2 linked regions of the Styela clava genome follow. The protein of the gene in region 2 binds, or shares a complex with, the protein of the main gene of each other region. Links are inferred from orthologs where the notes say so. Each region holds a gene or a part of one and is shown on either strand. Other genes may lie near its edges.

Region 1 (3,760 bases), on a different chromosome or scaffold from region 2:
ACAGATCAGGTTGTTAACATTCAACTTTTCATAGGTCCAACTTGTCATGACAAGAGGAGATGATTTTCGAGGTGATCTCGCAATTGATGACATCACAATAGAGCCTGGAATGTGTGCCGAGGACGTTCGTCTCAATAAAGTGCTTTGAATCATTTGAATGCATCACGTGAATTTGCGATGGAAAAATGTATTAAATTTAAGCACAAGAACATTTTGTTGTATTAGTAGTATTTATTGTTGTTGAACAGACACAGCAAACTTTTCCATAATTTGTAAGCAAGTCAAACCTAAATGTAGTTGCTAATGTGATATAGTCAGTATTTCCATGAGAGTAATATTACAAATATTTACTACCCTCTGGTTTCAGTGCGTAGTCCTCGCAATGCCATTCGTAGGATAGAGATAAACGCTGTGAGTAACTAGTATAAATCTTAATAAATTTAGGCAATATAATGTATGGACGCTCATTGTACACAAAACTTCCCTTGTTGTGAAATGAGGATCCAATACGACAGTGTTCATAATTTTCAGATTGCCATTATATCTTCAGTATTTTATCTTGTTATTTATGAGTGGCCTACACTACCTCTGTTGGACCGAATTAAATATTTTCTATAATCTATAGCAAGCTTTGGGGAAAAGCACGTCGGAAAGTCCGATCAATATTATATGGCGATTTGCGGGCACGCCATAACGAAGAACGCAGCGCTCTCATAGCGCAAAATTACCAACAATCTTCGCCGAGTTACTGTCAGAGAAGGCCGCCGCCAAAGCAGGGTTGCCAGATCCCAGTGATGAAAAAAAGCCAAATTAAGACGAAAAAGGCCAACAATTTTACTAAGTAGGCTACAAAAGCCCCATGATTTGATGCTACCATGGCGATTTCCACTTCAGCGAGATGACGGGTTTAAAAGTAAAAATGATGAATTGAATGACAGCACCAGAATGTACATTCGACATAATACAGTTAAGCTGACATCCATATGTAAAAGTTAATAAAAAATCAAAAAAAAAATAAATATTAATCGGACAGCATTATTCAACAATTCAATATATACACAGAGTGCCGATTCAGTATGTGATATACCTTAAAACATTCTCCCTAAACATTTTGAAACCATCAGTTTTATTAAAAAAAATTATCGAACCACGTGCCGCTTACAGGTGTACTGATAGCTTATTTTAGCCAAAGTGACTATGTCACTTTGTACCTAACCATTGCAAAATTGTCGGTGCTCATTTTAACAGTGGTTTCGCGATTTGGCGCCTGTAAAGTGGGAACAATATGTTCTTTGAAAGTGCTAGTAAAGAATTTTAGCCTAGTCTATCACAGCTATTTCTACACTAATTTTTGATTACTGCAACTAAACTGAAACTCCTAAGAAGACAACGTGATCCTTGAATTATTTAATATATATTTAAATATCCGAAACACAACTGGAAACTAACAAATAGATTTCAAAAAACGCGAAAACGAGGTAATGTTCACCACGCCTGAAAATCTATCTGAAAGACAAAGTGTCTGAGCTGATGCGAAAATGGGCATTGTTACGTCCCTTTTTGCATCTTGCTGATTGGCTTATGTCACGAAGTAAACAAATAAGTCGATGCTCGGGAAAACACCTGCTGAGTCTTCTGTGGGCCAGAACTGCGAAATTGCTCTGAAACCATTGTAAAGTAAGGGATCCTAAATTTACCTTATTACGTCAAACGTCACTCTGAGGTTAACCGGTTACGGTATGTTAGTCGTTGCCGGTTACTGGTGTGTTTCACTGAAATTCTACTGTCTATATATTTGCCCATATGCTGGTACCGTATAATGTTAGGTTTCCTTCATGCACGACGTGAATAAAATATCTGAATCCTAGGAGATCCTCCGCTCTGTAGGATTAGTTTTTTTTTTAGTACAAAAACGTCATAAAAAATCATGTCGGGTATCTGATTACTGGAGTACCGTATGGGGTTAGTTAGCCATTCTGTGCCGTCAGACCGTACCGGTACGGTCAGACGTAAATGTCGAAATGGCAGGTAAAAAGTCTGCATTTAAAAAGTAAACATACATTTCTGTACTGCAGTGACTACAAACATCAGTAGTTCAGTGAACGTTCAGTAGTTTATAGTAGTAGACTACCATATGTATTTTAATATAGTCTAACTGAATCTGTGAGTGGTTCACAGAAACAGAGTTACCTTCTAAATTATACTGTTATGGTATCTATAGTTATAGGAAATATTATAGATGGAGGCTACATCATCTGATTATGAAGACCACAGGAAGAAATGGGACAGAGATGAATATGAAAAACTTGCACTGGAACGACTGAATGAAGAGAATGAAAAGTCTGAGGAATTTAAAGATAAACCTGTGAAAAGAGATTTGTTAAAAGCAAGAGATTATAAAGTTGATTTAGATTCCAAGTAAGGCTTTTAAAAATCCAGATTTCTTGTTATTCGATATGTACAACTCTCAGTTCCAATGCGAACATTTATATGATTTTTGTGCTTTTTGTTTTTTATGCTGAAGACTTCTGTAATGACTCAATTTTATAATTAATGGCATAAATATAAATAGAGCATATCAACATATATGTTAATAGGGATATCGTACCAGTTTCAGACTCAATTGCTCACATTTTACTGCAACTCAAAATGAAATCATTACTTTTGTCACTTGTTAGTGGTTACAATGCTGCAATGTATCGGTACTATCTTGCATATGATTGAGTGACTCTTAATTCTTTGATAATTTTGTCTATAACTGCGTTTGAAAAGTAAAGAACTCATTGGTATTCATTTTTGTAATTCTAATGCAGACTCAACAAATCTGTCGTAATCAGTAAAACAACAGCAGCTGCAGATTGCGGAGGATATTATTGCAATGTATGTGATTGTGTTGTTAAGGACTCAATAAACTTTCTGGATCATATTAATGGTAAAAAACATCAACGAAATATGGGAATGTCAATGAAAGTTGAACGTTCCACGTTATCCCAAGTGCAAAAAAGATTTGAAATGAACAAGAAAAAAATGGAAGAAAAGAAGAAGCAATATGATTTTGATCAAAGAATGAAGGAACTAAAGGAAGAAGAGGAAAAAATGAAAGCTTATAAGAAAGAAAAGAAAAAGAGAAAACGAAAAGCACAGGAAGAATTGGAAGTGTCGAATGATGACTCTGACATTGCTGCCATGATGGGTTTTGGAGGATTTGGTGGTGGCAAGAAACGATGACAGCTGGCTTGCACAGTATTTTGTGGTATTTTCAAGTACACAATTCCAGATATTGTGGTATAAAATTTTACAGATTACTTTTTTATTCTCAAATATTCCTTTGATCAGAAGTGCTGGCATTTTTAGGTATTGTTTTTTTTTTCGAAAGCATTGTACAAGCATCACAAATTTTCAGTTTCAACATTTCCTTTCCAGTTTATTATACTATACACTGGGTCAGAAGTCATATGGAGGTATAGTATTTTTTAATTCGTATGACCTATAACATTTTTATCCTAATGGAAAGGAAATGTTTCAAATTTGTGTGTTAGTTCGATTTGACAAAGCCCCAAGTAGAACGCTTCAGTGGCTCATGATAGATAAATATGGAATAATTTAAGTTTATGAATATTCAAACTATTGTATCACTGTTGTGGATGTAAATAATCTTAGCTCTTTTTTTTGGAATTGACAATGGAAATATACCCGAGTATTCTGATGAAACAGTCTTTACCAAGTAACACTTTTTTACAAATTCTGATGTTTTTAATTT
Region 2 (3,633 bases):
GCAGCGACCGCAGGGTACCAGTACGGTACCTAGTGTGCTTCACTGTCTGGAGGAGTTGGAAATTTTCTACCTGGCTTGTGCTTGCAGTAATGACAAGTAAATTATTAGATTGGGTTACTGTTTTCGCTAGCTGGCTGGTGACTTTTCCTATAATTTGCGCACAGGATGGTCAAATTGTTGTACCGAAATATACAGATAGGCTATATGATCATAATCTACTACTGGAACGGTACCGGTATGTTTCTGAAAGTTGGTCGCCTCGAAGACCATGTTTAGAACTTTTCTATGAAAATACAAGTTCAAGCTGTCGCTAATTTTGGTATGCATGCTGACATGGCCATCCTATTCGTATCACTCCGTTTTGTTATTATAAGACTTTTAGTCAAAAGAGCATTGCAGAGTTGTATCACTTTTATTCAGCTTTATTCAGGTATTGGAATGTCTGAATGTTGTTCACTCCATCGTTGCAGTATGATTATTGATGTCAAAAACATTCAATTTTACTGTTTTTCACATCGCCTTTCTTGTATTACTGTATAACTATTATATTATTACCAAGGTTTCTCAAGCTGGGGCTTCAAGCAAAAACCTTCAAAGTATTTGAGATGAATATATTAATTTAAACTGAAGTACATTTGACTGTAATTTGGTAATTCTTTTGCTGTAATCCATTTATTCTTTTGGTTTTTGGCATTTTTTACTATTACATGGCATATAAAATGATGGAAATCCGTTAAAATTAAAACTAGGTGTTCTCATGGTTCATCAGTGGGCCACAAGTGTTCAGAGCATTTGGAAGGGCGGGGTGGGGGGAGGGGCATATTGCGAAACACTGTCCTCAACCAAAATCATTATATTCTGCAAACTGCTATTCTTAAAAATCTTTTACAATTGGCAGTAATCGCAAATTTCATTCAATCTAAATTCTTGGGGTTTACCCAGTTTGCTAGCAATTTGAAGCGATTTTGTATAATAAGAATTATAATATTAGTAAACTAATTATTAAATTCCTTCTCTAGAGGTTCTTCATTATAACTTTAGGAAATACTTACAAGATGTTTACTCTCGGTCAAGAGAGGTTTTTGGAGGAATCCTCCAAGCCTCAGCCAATCATGTTCACGGCTGGTGCGGTTTCAATTAGAAATGAAAAAGGTGAAATTTCAATGAAAAAAGTAAAAGTCAAGCGATATGTTGCCGGTAAAAAACCTGAATGGGCTCCAGAATTAGATCTTGATAGAGATTCTGACGACGAGGGAGGAAAATTTGAAAATAAAAATTATGATCGAGATGATGTGGATACTAATTATGAAATGAGAGATCAAGGAGAACAATCTCACTCTCAAAAATCTGTTGTCGATAGAAGATTACAAAGACTCATGGATAGAAGTCCGACAGAACAAGAACGAGGCGATAGGTTGAGACATCGGCGCAATTTCGAACCGGAAGTTATCAGTGAAGGGGAAGATTCGGAACCAGAAGAAAGTAAACCATATTCAAAAAAAGTTACAGTTGTTGAAGAGGAAAGCAGTGACGATGAGGATTTAGATGATGATGAAATAGAAAATAGAAGAATGTTGCTTCGACAAAGAGTACAAGCAAAACGACAGACTGAAGAAGAACTTTTCGATCAAGTGCAACAGACATCAGAAGTACATATCAAAGAAGAAGAAATGGATCGAGCGAAAAGCAGTGACGATGATGAAGAATTTACTTCGGAATCCGAATATTCAGATTCCGAGGATGAAGGACCAAGATTAAAACCTGTTTTCGTTAGAAAGAAAGATCGAATAACCATTCAAGAACGTGAAGAAGAAGAAAAACTGAAAAATTCTGAAGAACAAGCTCGTAAAGTCATGGAAGAAAGAAGAAAATATACTTTGCAACTCGTCGAAAAAGAAGCTCGTATGGAGGTCGACGAAGAAAATAAACTCCTAGCAAGTGTTAAAATGGTCGATTCTGACGATGGAAACGATGAGGACGAATATGAAGCATGGAAACTGCGGGAGTTAAAACGAATCAAACGTGACAGAGATGAAAGAGAAGCTGAACAGAAAGCAAAGGAAGAAGCTGAACGATTGAGAAACATGACGGAAGAAGAACGTAAAGCTGAACTTCGTAACAATCCAAAGGTCGTTACCAATCAACTACAAAAAGGAAAATACAAATTTTTACAAAAATATTATCATCGTGGTGCCTTTTATCTTGATGAAGAAGATGATACACTAAAACGTGATATTACGAATCCAACCCTTGAAGATCATTTCGATAAATCTGTTTTACCTAAAGTCATGCAAGTTAAAAACTTTGGCCGATCTGGTAGAACCAAATACACACATTTACTTGATCAGGACACTACAGTGTACGACTCCCCCTGGAATCAAGATAACGCTTTGTCAGGCAAATTTATGTCTAATAAAGGTGGCGGAATGAAACAAAATTTCGAACGGCCTTCTGGAAAACAAAGGAAAACATAATATTTTACCTATGTTGTATTTGGTTTTAATTTGAACATCCTTGGTTGGTTGTAGGACCAAGATGGGGAGCGTAAGATTACCAAGTGGCAAACTTACGGTATAAGGTTCAAATAATTTGTTGTACTGTGCAAACGGGCTCTCATTTTTTTTTCACTTTATGGCTCCATTTCTCAAAAATGTTAGAATTCAAGAGCTTTCACTATGGAATAGAATATTTATTTTGAGTTTTATTGAAAATTTTTATCAATTTGTAAGGAAAGTCAAGGAATGAATTATACAAAATCCATTATCTGTAACCGTTGTAAAAAGATATCTCCATTACTATATATTAAGACAAAATTGTTATTCATTTTCAATGGCCATCTCTGGTATGTAGTAAACATATAGCTTTTTATCGTGGAAATATCAACCCTTTTTTGATACTGATTGACTGACTACCCGTTCATGAAGTACTTTATATAATAGCGGTTTCTGTGCACCTCAAAAATAAAGTGAAAATGTGGTATTTGGATATTTGCATTTGCAAAAAATACCCTAATAATTTGCAGATATGTAAAGCTTTACTGAATTGGAGGGTATGCCGACAGTTTACAAACTGATCGAATAAAAGCACTTTTGTATGTACGTTTCTTTATTTGTTCTAATATAAATTCCCAGGTAACGAAATAAACGCATTGTAACATGGAGTGGGGTTGCATGCACAAAGACTAACTGACCTAAAACACCAGTGCGGTGGGAAAATACCAGTGGATAAGAAAATACTGCTGGAGGTTTATTACAATTTGGGGCATGCATTGACATCCTGCGCCGAACTCGTTGGATAGGATTTACATATTTATCCCAGGGAGAGGAAAGCCGATAGGACGGCTTAACCATATGTCGAACCACGGCCTCTCGTCCTATTACCATTCCACGTCGGGTATGGGATTAGTTAGTTATTTGTTTTCGGAACCATGGACTTGATGGTGGAGGAAGCCGGAACTGACCAGAGCTTACGTGAACCGCGGCGGCGAGGAGTTCAGCAATCTTCTCGCACATAACCATCCCAGCATGTGATTCGAACCTGCGAACCCACGCAGAGTAATCGGGGGTGCGGTGGCGAGCGTATTCCTAACGCTTAGTACGATGAGCCATATCGTTGCGCAAGGGATCACAAAAA

The links.
Region 1: microfibrillar-associated protein 1-like (region 2) and zinc finger matrin-type protein 2-like share a complex: the UniProt entries of both Homo sapiens proteins name them as parts of the spliceosome B complex. The link is inferred for Styela clava from reciprocal best matches to the Homo sapiens genes MFAP1 and ZMAT2.

What each region holds. Positions count from the first base shown.
Region 1 is NC_135251.1:24,961,485-24,965,244, reverse strand, and holds the start of zinc finger matrin-type protein 2-like, read left to right. Parts: upstream 1-1,552; 5' UTR 1,553-1,677; intron 1,678-2,239; coding exon 2,240-2,418; intron 2,419-2,813; coding exon 2,814-3,228; 3' UTR 3,229-3,760. Other genes in the region: uncharacterized protein LOC144419940, read left to right, coding at 35-148. UniProt on the Homo sapiens protein: Involved in pre-mRNA splicing as a component of the spliceosome.
Region 2 is NC_135261.1:7,095,020-7,098,652, reverse strand, and holds microfibrillar-associated protein 1-like, read left to right. Parts: upstream 1-1,001; 5' UTR 1,002-1,055; coding exon 1,056-2,474; 3' UTR 2,475-3,094; downstream 3,095-3,633. UniProt on the Homo sapiens protein: Involved in pre-mRNA splicing as a component of the spliceosome.